Linked DNA regions of Drosophila melanogaster. The protein of the gene in region 1 interacts with the protein of each later gene in a pairwise test. Each region holds a gene or a part of one and is shown in the gene's direction. Other genes may lie near its edges.

The links.
Region 2: the proteins of Git (region 1) and prod interact in a two-hybrid assay, tested with the Drosophila melanogaster proteins (one large-scale study listed by BioGRID).
Region 3: the proteins of Git (region 1) and Rme-8 interact in a two-hybrid assay, tested with the Drosophila melanogaster proteins (one large-scale study listed by BioGRID).
Region 4: the proteins of Git (region 1) and CG5180 interact in a two-hybrid assay, tested with the Drosophila melanogaster proteins (one large-scale study listed by BioGRID).

Annotation. Positions count from the first base shown.
Region 1 is NT_033778.4:10,641,261-10,647,044, reverse strand, and holds Git (G protein-coupled receptor kinase interacting ArfGAP), read left to right. Parts: upstream 1-1,617; 5' UTR 1,618-1,707; intron 1,708-1,890; 5' UTR 1,891-1,914; coding exon 1,915-2,790; intron 2,791-3,082; coding exon 3,083-3,239; intron 3,240-3,302; coding exon 3,303-3,388; intron 3,389-3,450; coding exon 3,451-3,735; intron 3,736-4,108; coding exon 4,109-4,299; intron 4,300-4,371; coding exon 4,372-4,768; intron 4,769-4,830; coding exon 4,831-5,034; 3' UTR 5,035-5,227; downstream 5,228-5,784. Other genes in the region: Elp2 (elongator complex protein 2), read right to left, coding at 1-183, 239-1,022, 1,074-1,196. UniProt on the Drosophila melanogaster protein: GTPase-activating protein for ADP ribosylation factor family members, including ARF1.
Region 2 is NT_033778.4:18,968,894-18,972,845, reverse strand, and holds prod (proliferation disrupter), read left to right. Parts: upstream 1-1,712; 5' UTR 1,713-1,837; coding exon 1,838-2,050; intron 2,051-2,117; coding exon 2,118-2,712; intron 2,713-2,778; coding exon 2,779-3,011; 3' UTR 3,012-3,442; downstream 3,443-3,952. Other genes in the region: CG15107 (uncharacterized protein), read left to right, coding at 413-601, 660-1,017, 1,071-1,255.
Region 3 is NT_033778.4:9,174,242-9,179,007, reverse strand, and holds the start of Rme-8 (receptor mediated endocytosis 8), read left to right. Parts: upstream 1-1,746; 5' UTR 1,747-1,866; intron 1,867-2,175; 5' UTR 2,176-2,228; coding exon 2,229-2,420; intron 2,421-2,474; coding exon 2,475-2,615; intron 2,616-2,772; coding exon 2,773-2,917; intron 2,918-3,073; coding exon 3,074-3,275; intron 3,276-3,336; coding exon 3,337-3,841; intron 3,842-3,898; coding exon 3,899-4,077; intron 4,078-4,132; coding exon 4,133-4,340; intron 4,341-4,397; coding exon 4,398-4,766. Other genes in the region: Rab32, read left to right, coding at 1-178, 259-402, 464-574.
Region 4 is NT_033777.3:20,556,380-20,560,296, forward strand, and holds CG5180 (uncharacterized protein), read left to right. Parts: upstream 1-1,550; 5' UTR 1,551-1,672; intron 1,673-1,864; 5' UTR 1,865-2,018; coding exon 2,019-2,212; intron 2,213-2,270; coding exon 2,271-2,817; intron 2,818-2,881; coding exon 2,882-3,208; 3' UTR 3,209-3,381; downstream 3,382-3,917. Other genes in the region: CG15922 (uncharacterized protein), read right to left, coding at 3,404-3,457, 3,519-3,668.

The DNA of each region.
Region 1 (5,784 bases):
GAAAGCCACCTTGGTAGCTGTGGGCCATGATCGAGTGTCCATCGCCGGAGAACTTTCCACCATAGAAGCCCACGGAGTTTCCACCCACTTCACCCACGCGAACTTCTTCCAACCAAATGCCTTCTTCCGTAGGTGCCCAAATTATGACGGTCTTGTCAATAGAAGCGGATAGAAGGCGGAGCTCTAAATGGATAACGTTTTTGAAAGGTCTTTGGGGAGTTCAATTGCTGTGCTTTACCTTGATCGGGTGTTTTGTGCCAGTGGACCCCATAAATCCATCCCTCATGTCCATATAGAACCGATTCCAAGCTCACTGCATACCAGGCTTCTTTCCCCAGTTGTAGTATCTTCTCCTCCACCTTTATCTCATCGTCGTTGTGGCTCAATTGATGCAGATCAACCCGATTCTCTTGCATTTGCTCTTTGCTGCGCGGCGCAATCCGCCAGAGACGAATAAAGTTATCCTGAGAGCCACTGGCCAGCAGCAAATCCTCGCCATCGACAACGAAATCCAGACCTCGAACCCAGTCTTCGTGGCCAGTGAGCTTGTGTTTGCGTTGGAACTGCCGACCTAGTGAATCTCCTTCACCTGCGGTTTCTACCTGTTCCGACCACAGGGAAACAGTCTCGTCATCGCCACTGAAGGCGAGCAGAACCTGGTTGCTCTTGGGCAGCAGCTGCAGTCGAAGACAGAAGCAGAATCCGTCGGATAAAGATATGGTTTGAAAGCACACATAATTATTATCCTGGAAAGTCCACAACTTGATGGTGGTATCTGCTGCTGCGGTCGCCAAAAGCCAGGAGCCATCCTGTTGGCGAATTCCATCCACAGTATTTACGCCACTTGTGTGTCCTTTGAGAGTGAAGCTCTTAGTCGTTCCCGTTTCATCCAGTTCCCAGAGAATAGCAATTGCATCATCTCCGCCGGAAAGAAGTTTGTCGCAATCCAACCACCTCACAGTGTTTACTCGCTTTGTGTGCTCCACCAGCGTGAACAGGACCTTGGCTGAGTTGCCTTGAAACTAAAAATTGGTTAAATATACTATGTTTCCAGTAAAGGCAAAATTTCCTACCTTTGGATCCATAATGGCTATGGCGTTACATGCCCCATAGGCAATCCAACCATTTGGACCCCAATCCGCGCATTCCGTGCAGCGGTTGCAGGCCACTGAAGTATGCAGATTCTCCACTTGCATGCTAATGTTGCACTTCTATTTTTTAATGACAACTAAATTCGAATTGAATGTCGGCGAAATTGTTTTGTTTTGGCACATGTGCTTCAAATAATGCAGTGCTTCTAAAACTGTCTCATCTGTTCATAAACATATGATTTCTAAGGGAGTGCAAGTGAGACAACTATATGTTGTGAAGAAGCTGGAATAGTGAGGCCAGCCGACAATATTGAAAAGTCTGGCAGGGCTAGTTACGAAAGTTACACCTGTTTGGTTTTTGATTTTTCGGTATTGCAGACCATTGCAAAATTTTGACCGAATAAATATTGCAACTTCTGTAATACTGGGTATATGATGGATTTTAAAATTTGAAAAGGCACAAACACAGCTGCTACATTCGTCAGCCTTTTCACTTCAAATCTAGCGCTTTTCCACTGCTACTGTTTGGTCACACTGGTGCGCAAAATAACTAAAACAAACTCGGAAAAGGCGTCCGCAAATGTTTTCTTCTGCTGCTCCCCGCGTTTAATTAAAAGTAATTTTCCTAATTGATGGCCAGGGGTGAGCCCCAGTTGCTGATATTTGACCTTTCACCGCCAGCGTTTCGGATTTCCAATCAGAAAGCCAACAGCTTGCAACTGACTCACAACGAAGTCACTTGAGATTGTCCGAGTTTTTTTTCAACTTCGGTATTCTATTTTTCGTATCTCCCCTGCAGCTTGTGAGCGTCTTGGAATGCTGAATGTGTTTCGCCAGCAGTATAATCGAAGCGCACAGGAAGTTATTTATAGCGCCGCCGGATTTGGATCATTCCGATCCAGCCACACCCACGATTTCGACCAGATCCAAAATGCCGAGGGGGAAATCCCGCCTGCAAACCGAAGTTTGTGGCGATTGCGGAGCTGGTGATCCATCCTGGGCGAGCATCAACCGGGGCATCCTTCTCTGCGCCGACTGCTGTTCGGTGCACCGCAGTCTGGGCAGGCACATCTCCATTGTGAAGTCTCTACGCCAGGGTAACTGGGAGCCCTCGGTTCTGAACTTTGTGAACTCTCTAAACGCCCATGGAGCCAATAGTGTTTGGGAGCATCATCTGCTGGATGGCAGCACCAACTCCACCGGCGGAAAGCACGTGCCACGCTGGCGGAAACCCACGCCCAAGGATGCACTCCATCCCACCAAATCCGATTTTATTAAGGCCAAGCATGTGAATCTAACGTTCGTGCTAAAACCCAGTCTCCAGGATGACGATGATGGCAATGGCTCAGCGGGCTGTCTGGAACAGGAGCTGAGTAGACAGCTCCATGCCAGCGTGCGGACCAGCAATCTAGAGACTTCACTGCGCTTCTTGGTCCAGGGTGCAGACCCAAATTACTACCACGAGGACAAGCTATCAACGCCACTTCACATGGCCGCCAAGTTTGGCCAGGCATCACAAATCGAGATGCTGCTCATCTATGGAGCCGATGTGAATGCCTTGGATGGCAATGGGATGACTCCTCTGGAACTGGCCAGGGCCAACAATCATAACACCATCGCCGAAAGACTGCTTGATGCCATGTACGATGTCACCGACAGGATCATTACCTTCCTAGGTGGCAAGAAGCCAGATCATGCGGTGAGTTTAGATCTTTAATTACCTGCAGAGTGAAATTATACTTTAATTGGACAAACCATTTAACCTTATCCATTGATTAATCATATATGTATTAAGCCAATTAAGCTATATCCTTGTAACTCCTTAAGTTGTCTTCAGTCTAAAGTTTATAACTATCTATTTAAATTTTTGTTAGTCACAGAACTATATTTATTTAATGGATTCATATTTCCATGAGCAAATGCACAGTTGACTCGACCTTTCCTACCCATTTCCTTATTCCGTTCTATTTAAATACTATTTCCATACGTAGAGTGGCCGCCACATGATTATTCCGGATGCCAATGGCGCGGACATAAGCGAGCAACTGAAGATTGCACGTGGAAAGTTGCAACTCGTGCCAAATAAGATGTTTGAGGAGCTGGTCATGGACCTATACGATGAGGTGGACAGACGCGAGTGCGAAGCCAGTGAGTATGACTGCTAAACATAGACTACAAACAAAGCTAATCTTATTTTTCTTAACGAAATAGTCTGGTCGACAAGCACCCTGAATGCTGATCATGCAACTGTGCCATTTTTGCCGGCTAATCCATTTTTGAGCGCCACGCGCAATCAGGTTTGACCTCGCCGTACATTAATGATTCGAACCTTCATTCATTGACATGGTCTCGCCTACAGGGTCGTCAGAAATTGGCACGCTTCAATCGCGCCGAGTTCACTGGTCTCTTGACCGACGTGCTCGTCGATGCTATGCGACGCCAGAATATGGCCAACCTGCGTCCAATGGATGCCCCAGTGGCCGGGCACCAGTCGCTGCAATCGCTGCCGTATGCCAACAACTCAATGCTGCTCGGCTCGTTCGAGCAGGGCGGTCATGATCCGAATCTGTCGGACGACGAGCCCATTTATGATCCGGTGGCCAGCGATGACGACTATGCCCCAGTGCCACCAATGGCCCAGCAGGTAAACCTAATGCGGCAAAAGATACTCAAGCTGAACAATAGCTTTGGCTAGAAGCGTAAGCGAAGACTGACATTTAGACAACCCGTGCTGTACCCATTGTGTTCATCCGTAGGCCAGGGCACTATAGCTCCCTGATTTTAGGCAACCTAATCCATTTTCAAAGGTAGAAGTCCAAATGTAGAACATAAGCCTCAATAAAACTAGCTGATACTTGTGAAAATGTAGTTTAAATAAGTAGTAGTTGGTACCGTGATTTGTCTGCCTTGCCTTTTGTTTTTATGCAATATTTATTTTTAAAGATTTTGTAATTATTAGTTGTACTTGATTTATATTGATTTATTTTCCTTGTTTTTATGCTTTTTATTTTACTTAGGCCATTGTGCATACGCCACCGCGCAGCGCGAATTCGCACAACGAAATGGAAACGCTGCGCAAACAGCTGAACGATTACAAATCGGAGATCAATCAGCTAAAGAACGTGGTGCAGATGCTGTCCAGCGAGAACACGCAGCTCAAGTCCAAGTTCTCGAGCGCATCGAACAACAGCGTGTACGATGAGCCACTGTGAGATTTTTCATTTGAATTTATTTGGCTAGCTTTATTTTTATGATTTGTTTTAAATTTTCCTTTGCATAGTCGCATTGATCTGAGCTTGAGCAGTCCGGATACAGAGCACGAGCCTCTGTCGCTACCCGAAGGTGGGACTGCCAATGGGGAAAGCGGCTCCTCCAATGATTCGTCAAATCAATCGACCATCAAGCGTCCAGCCAGCATGTACGAGCGTCGTTTGGTACCCAATGTGGCCAAGGGCAATACGGACATACGAAATACGACCAGCATGTACCAAATGGCTGGGGATGGCAAACCTTTTGGTGAGGAGGTCAAAGTGCGCTCTGACTTGGTCACACGCCGTCTTAAGGAGCTCATAAGAGCTATGCAGCCAGTGCCAGAGGATCAAAAGCAGTCGATTGCTCCACATGGAGAGCTTATACGAAGTGCCGTGACTGATTTAATTGCCCTTTATGCCAATTTGGTAAGATGAACATAGGGGCTTCCTTTATAAGGATGTTTCATAATCATAAACATATATTTTAGCCACCGAATGCCAGTGACCCGTCTCGCGAAACCCTTAAACTGCTAACCCGCCAGAACATTCTCATCCAGCACGAGTGCGAGAATCTGCAGAAAGCCATCGAGGCGGATGACAAGCAGGCCATACAGAAGAACACCTTGGAGGTGCGCGACTGCGCCTTCCACATTGCCAGTGCCATAAAGACTTTGGTGTTGCAGTTCTATTGAGACGCCCAAAACACAATCATCGACATAGAAGTTTAAACTCACTCACTCTTTTTTGAAGTATTAACCGACCACTTTAGTGCCCTGCTGACTAACAAAAGTGCTTCCGCCAAATAATTTAAAGAATCCCCTTTACATATAGTTTATGTATTTAATAAATGTTTACATAAATCAATGTACTTCGTTCAATATACACAAAATGCGTTCTTCTACGGGCTAATGACCCATTGCAAAATAGTTTAAAAGTGTTGAAGGATTGGCCCTCAAATTCAAAGGGGGGGAGACAAAGGAGGTGGAAAGATTTACGATATCTGTGTATATATATATATATTTATGGGTCCTTTATAATTTTAATAATCAGGTGCATTTTGAGCCTGTATATTGTTCACTTTAGTTAACTGTACGTTCTAAGCATGGACAATCAGTTAAGCATGGAGTACATATGTATAAGTGGCTTCCTCTACTTATTGTTTAACTTTGTGTAATTGAGTGGGTAGCTGCTGCCTTTGCTCTGGCTGTTTTTCTGACCTCCGGCTGGTGGTCGGATTGCTCGCCTATGGACAAAAATACACTCGTGGTGGTTGTGGTGTGCAAGTTCAAGGAACTATTTAAGATTAAAGCATTTATCCATGAGTGTTGCACGACTGTGCTCGCGGTCTCTAAAAAATAATATGCTCTGCCATGTTCGAAGCGCACCAAAAGTGTCCATAAAAATATACACATCCCATTTTGACATTCAAAATCTAGGTGCAT
Region 2 (3,952 bases), 8.3 Mb from region 1:
CAGCGGTTCTACTAGCTGTTCTACCCTCTGATTGAACTTGATTGAAAAAGCAGGACTAGCTTTGTTACAAAAATTACGAAATACACAAAAAATGCTTAAAGAACTAGACCAATTTATTTTATAAATTGAAATGTGATATTTTGAGAAAAATAAATATTTTTAGATGTATTACACAATCTTGTGAGATTGTGGCGCGGGTAAATTACAAATTCCAAGAAACTTCTTTTCGAACCTAGGAGAACCAAACAATTATTTTGATATTTTCTAAAATAGTTTGGTATTTCGGTTTTGGTATTTAATTTCGGAGCCTTAATTGTTTGTGTTATCGATAGCTCGTTGCTTTATTGCCTTTTTGTGGCGTCTGTTTCAATTTGTTTGTTTTCAATTGTTGGTCATAATTTGGATCCCCAAAATGAATCGACGCAACAAGCGGACGTCGTACTACCAATACGAAGTATACCTAGACTTCATGGAGGAGAATCCCCCGATGTCGGCCAACAAACTGAGTCGCACCCAGGACGGCAAGAAGTGGAAGGAGCTCAGCGATCTGCTAAACAAGTGCTCCACGGGTCCCACTTTGTCGCCCGAGGAATGGCGAAAGGTATGTTGTAACCAGTTGGGTATCGAGTGTACAAGCCCACAGTGTGTCATGCTTATAGCGCCTCAACGACTGGAAGAACAGCACGCGCTCCAAATACCGACGCAGCATCAACTCGGATGACAAGAGCAATGCAATGACTCCTCTGGAGAACAGAGCCCTGCAGATCTTCTCCTTAGAACCGAATTTTCGCGAGGGAATTTCGATGCGCCTGCACGAACTGATGGAGGAGCAAGAGGAACTGGATGAAGAAGAGAATGAGAACCTGGAGGAGTTGGTGGATGAGGAGGAGGAGGAGGAGGTGCAGTACCAGCAGTTCATAGCAGAGCCTCACGAGCAAGCCAACCCAACGATCATCAATGGTCACAGTGCCGCGAAAAAGCTAAGGCTCGATGGTTCCAGTGAGATTATCTACGAAGGTGGGTAGACGCAAATCTAATGTAAATACTAAATATCCTATAAAGGGACATAGCCTTGATTTCAGTCGCGGATGTCACATCTGATCAATCTGCCGCGAAAGAACCGTCTGCCTTCTATGGAGAGAAAATCCAGGAGCAGCTGAAACGCATTTCGGACATACACGAGGCATCGCTGCACTTTAAGATAGCCCGCTTCAAGTACAATAATCCCGGATTCGAGTACGTTCCGGAATTATAGCCCATGCTAGCCATGCACATTGATATAATGTATAATGTAATATAATATGTGAGCTCAGAGGGACCTGCTGATTTCGCCTCGAATTAAAAGCCGCGGAACGCTCAATAAGTAGTACAGTAGGCATTCGTTGAAAACAAATTCTTGAGTAGTGTGTACCATATACCAATTAGTCGTTTTTAAGACTGTTGTTATGCATATCGTTCGACGAAATACTTTTTGCACATATATTTTGAAATGTATTATTGATTTATATGAAACCGCTAATAAATATTGTGACAAATCATTTCTGAATCCGCATGTTTTTATTGCAACAAAATTGAATTATTTATTGCACATCTAGCCATAACTATCGCATGGCATCTAATTGCTTTTTTGGCTTCCCGCCAGATGCGCACCACTGGCGTGCCGAATGCAACCCTGCGCCAACAGCAACAAAATGCAACTAGAAAATCCCAAACGCTAAATGCGTAAATTGTTTGTGAACATCTCGCATCGCTTGGTGGCGTCGATTTGCATTTTAGGGCTTTTGCCAGCTATTTAAACACGGCATCGAGCACGCAGGCACAGAGCAAGGATACCCGGATGAACGGCAAGATGGACCGCCGCAAGAAACGCACCTCATCGGAGCAGTACCAAATGTACATCGACATGATGGAGAGCGACCCCATTTTCGCCACCGGACGAGTGCCGCGCGACTATGACCTGAACTACTTGACCAAAAAGTGGAAGGAGCTCTCCGACCGGCTAAACAAGTGCAGCTCCGGACCCACACTGACGCCGGAGGAGTGGCGCAAGGTACGAGTACCACTACATCACCCAAATAATGTTACCTCTAATCGCGAATTTCCTGCTCCACATACAGCGCCTAAACGATTGGAAGAACACCACTCGCTGCAAGTACAGACGCAGCCTTCTGTCCACGGAAAAGGACATCTCGATGACCTCCGTGGAGACGCGCGCTCTCGATCTCTTTGGCAAGGTGCCCACCACCGGCGGCGAAACGATGCTCAATCTGAAGTCCGAAAAGGATGAGCACGACGACGAGATGGAGGAACTGGGCCAGCGTACTTCGGTGGCATTTCAAAAGGAACTTCAGGCAGCCGTTGAAGAGGCAATCAACGATGAGGTGGACGAGGAGGAGATGGTGGAGGAGCATGTCGATCACGAGGACATGATGGAGGAGAATCTGGCGGAGACCGGCATCACCGCGTCCACAACGGCGGTCAATACGGGTGGCGGCACCTATCGCACCATCGTCGTGGACAACACATCCTTCGAGCATGTCGAGGAGGATCCCCAAACGGTGCAGCCGCACGCCGTCGAGTACGTCACATCCCGCAGGCCTGCTGCCCCCGTCATCAATCCGGGCACAGCCTCCTCCGGCAATAAGCTGATCAACGGCGAGCTGCCCGTCAAGCGGATGCGCACACAGCCCAGGGAGCAAATTATCTACGAAGGTAACTATGCCGTTTTACTTTGCTTAAGTTTAAGCAGTTAACATCACGTTTTTCCATATCTTTCAGTTAAAAATGCGCCGCGTTGCATTTCAAACATGCAGGCCGTGCCGCCGCTGCACAGTACAAAGCTGGAGCGGGAACCCAGTTCGCTGACAAGCGCGCTGAGCAGCAGCGATGCCCAGCAGATCGCGCACCAGCTGAAGCGACTGGCCGACATCAAATTCGAGACACTGCAATTTGAGATTGCGCGCTTCAAGTTCAACAACCCGGGCTTCCAGTACGATCCGCCGTCCTTATAGTGTCCCAAGCGGCAGGGCGAGATCAGTGGGTCTAAGCAGTCGGCAAAAACTCCAGCACCAGCAGAAGCCACGGCGAAAGGATCAGCATTAGCAAAAGCAATGGAACGAGTCAAGTCAGCTCGAATTGTATAGGTCTTTTACGAATGTGCTCTTTGGCACTCGAACGTTTTCTAGCTCTCCAAGTCCTGCGCTCCGCCGGAACACACACAAAACTGTAACTTATAGTAGCCAGATTTAAATTGACTAGTTTAAAATTGACATAGAATTCTATTGTGTAAACAGTTATTTTCAACTTTTCAAGCACTTCATCTACGATATCCATATATATGAAATAGGCATAAAATTGTAATATCTAAAGTGAAAAACAATTGGACAAGTAATTTTAACGCGTTGTATGTAAATGTTAAGAATAAAGTTTACCAATGATAAATATGCGCCGCACAGACGTGCTCCACCTTTTGCCTGTTGTTGCATTTTTAGAGTTTATTTATGACGCCGTGGCCAGAATCGAAGCCAACACGAAAAGTCCATTAATCAAAGCTAGGGAGATGGCGTCGACAACGCGTATATGCATTGTGGCTCGGCTTCGCTTTGGCTTTTAGTTTGGGTCATTTTAACCTGACCGCCAACTAGTGGGCGCACTTTGTAACTGTCAGCAGCGCCTGGAGGCATCGATGCGAAAGAAATCACTTGTGGCTGTTATGGTCGCCCGATGCTGATGCAACAAGTGCCGATCCAAAGTCCTCGGCTGCTCCCTGCTCCACCTACTCCGCTTGGATAACTGCAATGGGCAATAGATCATTTGCGGGCCGTGCGCTGCGAATCATAAATTACCGAAGACCAAGGTGGAGCGTTTGAGGGAACAGACCTCCGCCATGGGACGACGCACGGTGTTCCGTTAGGAATCGTTGGCATCGCGTTGATAACTGCACAACACGTCG
Region 3 (4,766 bases), 1.5 Mb from region 1:
GGAGAGGTTTGGCAACATGACCCGTGTCTACTACAAGGAGGCGGTGGGCGCGTTCATCGTTTTTGATGTGACTCGCAGTGGGACTTTCGATTGCGTGAGCAAGTGGAAGGAAGATCTAGACTCCAAGGTGCAGCTGCCGGACGGCAGTCCCATTCCGTGCATCCTGCTGGCCAATAAAGTAAGTGATTGCCTAAAGGTTAAAGGAGACCGCATAATTTCTATATTATGTGATTAATACGTTGCTCATCCGTTTTCCAGTGCGACCAGGAAAAGCAGGGCATCATAACGCAGCCCGAGAAGATGGATGAGTATGTGAGGGAGAACGGATTTGCCGGTTGGTTTGAGACATCCGCCAAGGAGAATATCAACATCGATGAGGCAGCTCGTGCCCTCGTGAATAAGGTGATAATCGCTGCTAATGCCCAGCCAAAGCCCCGCTAATCTTCTTCCACTCGCCCGACAGATACTCATCAACGATAAGCTGATATCTGCCGATCTGGCCGATGGCGACAAGTTCAACTTGAGCGCGGCCGATGCAACCGGATCGGATGCCAAGAACAAGTGTTCCTGCTGACCTGGGACCGAGGTCCGGCGACTCCTATTCCCATTCCCAGTTTAAGAGCGAGTTTCAACACAGAAACGCCATGTGCCTACGTCCACTCCATGTTCATGTTGTTAGAAGATAGCGATAACTATGCTTAGGGTTTTAACGTAACATTTGTCTAAGACTTAGTGTCATCCGTATCATCCCGTCCGTCTTTATCTTTAACACCCCGTCTGTGGGTCCACAATGTTGCGCCGGCATCGGGATCCGTGTCACTTTGAGAATTTATATGGTGACACATAACATACCTACGCATACGAAACATTATTACTATCACCATCATTGCCCTAGTTGCGAGGATTAGCCGGAGGTAGTGCAGCATCCGTATCATAGCATACTACATTTGTGTAAAATGCGAATCGTCTTATTGTTTTGTTTGTTTTATTTGCCTCTGCTGGCGAGATTGTTTTATCTTGGAATTATTATTCTCGTATGCAAACACACTCTGCCATCATTATTTGTATTTAGATAACAATACGTACGCTTAATGCAATGCGAAATCAGAAATAAAGTTTTTAATGGTAGTTAAGTTCAGACGACGTGTTTTATTGGCTGAATAAATTCTGTGTAAGTGCTTTTGTGATACAATGAAAATGTTATGCTACTAGTATTTGCCTTCATTGAATCACTGGTCTTTGTAAATAAATACGAATAAAAGCTTTGTTTTTACATTTCCTTTTTTAACGGTAAAAAATCGTATCCCCAACCGGCAATGTTTTTCTTTTTTTTTAATATTCAAACTATCGATAGTTATCAACTATGGTATTCCTTATTGTTTAGTGATCACATATTAAACTTAAAAATAATGATATACAGATAAAAGTGTCGTGCGTTCATATTCTACATAAAATTATTAGCAATTATTTAATCGTTATGAAAAGCGAAACGTATAAACTGGTAATTGGTATGGGAAAAATTGGGAAAAAGCTGGAATCAGGTTTAATTGCAATTTGGTTTTATAAAATGTTTTATGGCACAAACAAACATCCTGACTCAAAAGTGAATTAAGCTTGAAACTTAAATACTCCGAGAATACCGTGAATATGCGTTTACCAATTGCTGCTGAACGGGACCACTATCGATAGAACCTTACAAACTATCGAATCGCTGCAAGACTATTGCCATCGATACTTGCACCTCTATTTATTAGTGTTGTGTAGCCGTGTTACTGCTAAATTGTTTATTGCAAAAATTCCGCAAACGAGAGATATTAGGAATAGAAGACAATATAACAATTGGGCAAAATGTGTTAGATGTTTAAGGTAAGCCACCGCCAGGGCTGCAGCTCGGCGGAGCCGTATCCAACGGTCCGCGCTCTGGGGGCCGCAGCATTCCGCACTCGTCACGTTTACTCCCCTTTTCTGGTCTTTGTTGGGGCTCCGTTGGCACTTCTGCTGATAAGTGCCCAAGTCGACTTAATTAATCAGTGCCCTGGAGTCGGGGGCAAGTCAATTGGATATTTGGAAACCGCTGGGAACGTGAACCAGCTGCGCGCCCGAAAGACCAGTCATGAATTGCCGCGGCTCTGATTTGACTCCCGTTCCCACACTCCATATCTCACTCACTTTCAGTTGCTGACTAATACTGGGTGGAAGGTAATCAGTTGGAATCGTCACAAGAAACGATGCTGCCGCCTAAGGAAAACGTCGATCTGGAGTGCTTCCTGGTGACCAAGCACTCCTGGAAGGGCAGGTATAAGCGCATCCTCTCCATCGGCACGGCCGGCATATCCACCTACAATCCGGACAAGCTTGACCTGACTAACAGGTGGTCCTATTCGGACATCGTAGCAGCAGCACCCTCAAAGACCACAAATGTGAGTTTATAAGATCCTACGGAGAGCTCGGAACTAAATAAATTGATCTTTCAGATACCCCATGACTTCGTGATTACCATCAAAAAGGATAAGAAACTAGATACAATCAAGTTATCGTCGGAATATCGGAACGATATCCTAAGCTCTATATTAAAGTACTACAAAGAGTTTGCGGACAAGCCGAAAAATGCTCAGGTTGGTTTTTGAGTCTCGCTTTAAATCCTATACTAATTTGGAAACACTTCTCCAACATTTCATGTGTGATTCAGATGTTTCTAATTAACATTTAAATATGCAATATGAATTCTAATCTGTCAAAATTTTAATTTTGAATACTATCTAAATTTTGTAGCGCTTTAGTGCTTACAAATACCACTGGTCGGGCATCAGTCTTCCCACAGTACTGGAGGTCACGCCCTGTTCTCTGGACCAGCTCGATCCCACCACCAACGACGTGCTGGCCAGCTATATGTACAAGGATATCGAGGGAATAATAGGTAGCTATGCACATTCGACTCGCTTGCATCAATTAATGTGTCTTGTTTTGTCCTCATGTGCCTCAATTACAATTCAATATGATCGCTCCGTGTTTTGTTCTTTTTTTTATTTTTGGTTACTTGCCGCACTCATCTTTCTTCCGCACACGTTTTAAGCAGGCATCTCGGACTATGAGGGAGGAATCGTGATGGCCTACGGCGGATTCAGTCGCCTCCATTTGTTTAAGGCGCTGAATCACCACGAAATCGTGCAGAACATAGCACAGAGATCGGCTCAGTTTCTGGGCATCGAAACCAAAATACTCAAGAGTCAGATCACTCTGGAGCAGTTCGAGAGGCAGCGGTTCGGCAAGTTTAGGTAAGTTCATGTGAAACGCAATAAAGAATTTGTAGAAAAAAAAAGCCATATAATATTTCAGTGGTGACCAGTTTCAAACCTCGTCGACCGAATTCTCGGTTCATAAGATAACGCCCCGCCATCCGGATCCGGTGAAGCGTATACTCTGCCTCACCGAGGTAACGCTGCTGGAGCGGGATCCTCAAACCTACAGCGTCTGCACCCTGCGTCCGCTCACTGATGTGTTTGCCTTAGTTAGAGACAAGGACAATCTTCAGCGCTTCAGCATCGAGTACAAGAATGGAATCGTGCGCAACTACAGCACCAACGACCGCGACTCATTGTTGGCCACTGTTCTGGATGCTGTCCGCTCCAGTGGCAATCAGGATGTGCACGTCCGCATTGGCAACACGCCGCGAGGGAAACGGTATGTGCCATTGAACAGCTCGGTGGACGAGGAGACGGAGGCGAATTTGATGCGCCTGGTTATCAACAATTTTCAAAACCCCTCTAAGCGGTATGAGATCTTGGAGCGCTTTAATGCCAATGTGCCTCACAGTGGCCTCAACTACAGTGTAACTCAGGATGTAGGTTAACCTAATGCTCGGATTCCGGTTCAACCTAACTAATGTTTCGTTTCACAGAGCTTGTTTGCTGAAAACAAAGATAAACTTATCCTGAGTGCCCTGCAAGCGTTGGCTCAAAAGGAGCTGGACAGCCCTACGGCCCAGCTGAGCAACTTGGAGCTGGAGGCTATCTTTCACGCTCTTACTCGTCTTCTCGCTAGCAAAGTTGGATACGCAGCCTTTACGAATCTCCCGGGGTAATATATTCTAGTTTCGTACTAATAGCATTGTTAATGTTTGAATACATTTCAGCTTTCGTGAGATTATCGGTACAAAGGTGGTGGCTGCTTTAAGACGCAAGGATTTGGCTGTGACATACTCCGCCATTGACATGATTAACTCGCTAATGCATTCTGTGAATTCTGACCATGATTTAAAACAGGAGCAACTTAACAAGTCATCCATTCTGTCATCAAAATCGTTTCTGGAAACTTTGCTCAACATGTGGACAACCCATGTGGTAATGTAACCATTCTAGAGTGCGGTCAATTCGTTTTGTAACTATTTATGATTTCAGAGCCATGGCAGTGGTGCTCTGGTACTCTCAGCCATGCTGGACTTCATGACCTTTGCCTTGTGTGTGCCTTACAGCGAGACCACTGACGGCAAGCAGTTCGATACTCTGCTGGAGCTGGTTGCCGATCGTGGACGCTATTTGTACAAACTGTTCCAGCATCCCTCGCTGGCGATCGTGAAGGGAGCTGGATTGGTGCTGCGGGCCATTATTGAAGAAGGCGAGCTGCAAGTGGCTCAGCAAATGCAAGCATTGGCTTTGGATGAGGCTGCGCTGTGCCGCCACTTACTGGTGGCACTGTATACGCCCTCCAATGATCCCACACAGACCACGCAACGTCAGTTGTCGCGGCATTTGATCGGGCTGTGGCTA
Region 4 (3,917 bases), on another chromosome or scaffold:
CTACTACTAAGCAACTACTAAGATTAAGGAAATTAACTAAATTATATTGATTTTATAGGCTGATACGTTTCAAATGCAACCTTCTGGTACAAGTAATCACTGTACCTAGCGATTTCAGCTCTTCTATCTTGAAAAGTTGGGCCAAAAGTAGTTTAGCAAATATTCCGCGCCTTTGCTTGCGGCTTAAGTGTGATTTTAGCACAGCCTCTTGATATGTGCCCCCTCCATAAACAAATTTTTTGATAAGGAATTCGAGCGATGAACGACACTTTTCGACCACTGTGCACTGGGATGCTGTTGTTGCCGGCGCTTGATAAACGTAAACAAGCTCGTTAGGCGGTGTTTGTGCACTTTTTTCTCTGCTATTGCACTCAGTCAAGGTTGTGGCTTACTACGGATCCAGTTTATCCAGCAAGTGTTTTCCACTTTGCTTCTGGCTATGAAATTTGTTTGCTATAAATAGCCCGTTGGAGGGGGGGGGGGGGTCGATGCGGGATGTAGATAGTAAAGCAGCTACAACATCATTCCAACTGGACTTTGTACCCCCTTGGAGGAAAATAACAAAAACCAAATGGGGCAATGGAAATTTATGCAAATTACTCGGAAAGTGCACTTTCACATGCGCGATTTTCTAGCCAATTTATTTCCTTGAACAATAATTCGGAATACTTTTGTTTGTTGTTTACAAAACTGGATTTGATTTATAAGAATCATACGTGACTTAATTCTGATTGGACTGAGTGCGCCTAGGGGAATGAAAAACAGCTGTTGCTTGTAAGTGTTGTTGTTTGTTTCTCTTAAATTTAAGTACTTTGCGATAAAGGCCACTGTGCACCAACTGTTTGGCAATCCATTTATTCGCTCTTGTTTACACCGATTAAACGCTTGCAACATCCCAAAAAGACCACTCACACACGGACACCTTATATAATTGGGCAAAACGAGAACAACAAATTATTTTGAACACACACACGTATACATATGCGTACATATGTACGATTTCATGTGTGTTTGGCCCTACACGCACCTTTGTTTTTGTTAGCACAGATTCTTTTTTTTCGGCCTCCCTTTTCGCTCCTTCGGCCTTGGCAACAATAACAACAACACACAGCAGTGGTAGGCGTTTCGCACTGATTTTCGATTCCAAAAACACAGGTGCTGTATTCTCTTTAACCGCGAGCTAATTCTTTGTCTTTATTTCGGATTTTTCTATTTGTTAATGCACATTTTCCGCGCGATTCTCGGACTCCGCCTGCGAAGCTCCAAAGAGCAATTGACAAAAACATCGAGAACTGCGCTCGGCGTTGCCATGCTGACTGCGCTGCCAGACGGCGTGGGTGGAGTCCACGCTGGAGGTAAGCCCAGACCGCAACCCTCTAACTGTGGCACAGTGGTGCAAATTAAGAGAGGACTGCTGTCAAAAATTGTTTATAAAATTTGTTCCAGAGCCGTTATGTCATTGTTTCGTCATGTCAATTGTAAAAGAAAGCACCCTTTCAAAACGTTGTAAATAATTTCAACAAGTGCTACAGATATTTGTGTTATTCACTGGCATACAAGTTCGTTTAAACAAAATATTAAACATAAATAAACATTAAAATATATTATTAAACAAAATATATTCTTGACTTGCAATAGATATGCCGTATCACTCATAAATGCAATACAAAGGGTAAATCATTATTTCCTGGCTTAAAATTGTAATGAAACGGATAATGAATCACATAGCTATTCAGTTTTAGAGAATTTGTATGCACTTTGTCATATTTAACGTTAAAGTCGATCACTTTTTATTTAAGGGGCTAAAGTTGTTTTACTTTATTTGCCTAATTTAAATTTTTGCTCCTTATATTCAAAAATGCAGGCTCGATACCATCTCGACCGCGATGATTTGTTTGGGTTGGCAACGCCCCGACGTTTGTGGCGCAGCCAACTTCACGCGAGACGCAGCGAAAACAAAAAATACTAAGCTGAAGTTAATTGAGAAAACCCCAAATAAAACGCGAGTGAAAGGGACCATGAACTTAGACCTGCGTTCGTACTCACGCCACTGGCTCACGGAGTTTATCGAGCAGTACCAAGAGGAGGAGTGCCTCTGGCAGCCCAAGCACAACGACTACAGCAATCACACAGCCCGTAACAAGTCCTACGATCGCCTGGTGGAGAAGCTAAAAGAAGTGGAGCCCAATCCGGACAGGGCGATGGTAGTAAGGTGAGAATTTCCATGTCAAATGTGCCACAGTTCAGTAAACACAATTCACGCTTTACAGGAAAATTAACTCACTGCGGTCCGCTTTTCGGCGGGAATTCCGCAAGACGAGTACCAAAGGCGACTACGCAACGCGTTTGTGGTACTACGACAAGCTGCTTTTCATCGCTGACCACAAGCCCAAGCGCCACGAACTCGGCTCCAAGCCCAAGAGAGAACTCCATATCAGCTTCGACGACGAGGAGTCAATGGAGTTCGAGGACGACTCACATCACACGGGCACTCAGTCTCAGCACATGGAGTCCATAATACCCACGTCCCCGGACGATGTGGAAGAAGTCGCGGCGACGGCCAACAATGTGGTCGTCAGCAGTCAGGGCGCCACTCTGAGCACCATTTCGGTGACGCCCGCGGAATGTGTGACCCTTGTCAAGAGCGAGGAGCACCAGGCGGCCGAAGCAGCGGCAGCCGCAGCCCAAGCACACCAGCAAATGGTAGCCCATGCAGCAGCCCAGACCTCCATTGCGGCGGCGGCGGCTCAGGGACATGCCGTGAAGGTCTTAGAGATCACCTCCCTAGACTCCAACTCCCAGCGCGAGATACAACAAGTGAGTAGCTCCAAAGCAGTGAAGAGTTCCTTAGGGTCTTCAATCACCTCCTCTCCCCACGCAGGCGGTCAATCATCTGGAGCACCACCAGCAGCAGCTCCACCTGCAGCAGACGAATGGCCAACATCAGGGCGTTCCCACCATCCAGATAGGCCGCGATCACTATCAGCCATTGTTTGGCAATGCCGGCACCACTGCCTATACCACCACAGCGGCTACGAGCACATCGCACCGGCAAGACGACGAGTACGATGCCATTGGCGTGAATGTGGCGAGCAAACTGCGCTCCATCAACCCGACGCAGCGGATCGTGGCCGAGAAACTGATCAGCGACGTTCTATTCAACGCACAGCTGGGCAACCTCACCGTTCACTCGGCCCTCACGCAGTAATCTCTCTTGTCCCCCTAGACTAAGTATGTGTAGTCTCTGGCTTTATATCTCCATTTTGTCTGTGTCCCAACCTGCAGCCCGGCCAACATGTGTCGCCCGGGCAGCAGCCGATTGTACCATACAGTTTGCATGTAGTTTTAATTATTCTATACAATAAATAGATTGTATGTCTTAAGCTCATCACCAGAGGGTTTGTCATTCCGTCGAACTTCCTGCGCCCGTTAGCTTGTTCCACACAAACCTGGCAAACTGGACAAAAAGAGGAGCTGCTGTCTTGAGGTGATCGCCTTAAGAATTAGGACTAACATACCGTGACCGGCGGCATCTCGATCTGTTCCGCCTCCGTGACCAGTTTTCGGTTGCTCTGCATGTAGCTCCAGCCCAGATGGATCCCCACCAGACTGGGGATCATCACGACGGCCACCAGGTTGCGCGACACGAACGAGGGCTGCTTGCTCATCTTTACAAAATTCGTAAAACGGAATTATTATTATTTAACAGCTATCACAAATCAACAATGACGATGTGACCGCATTGCGATGTTTGTTTAATCTTATCAACGAAAAATACCAACCTATAACGCTGCCCCAAAACGGGCGGCTAGTTTTGAATAAAGTTTCTATCTCCCCCAACTTGGTCCAAAGTCCAACGTTTTCGGGGATAATAATGGGAAACTAAACGTCTCGCAATTCTTTGTCTGGGACTTCGA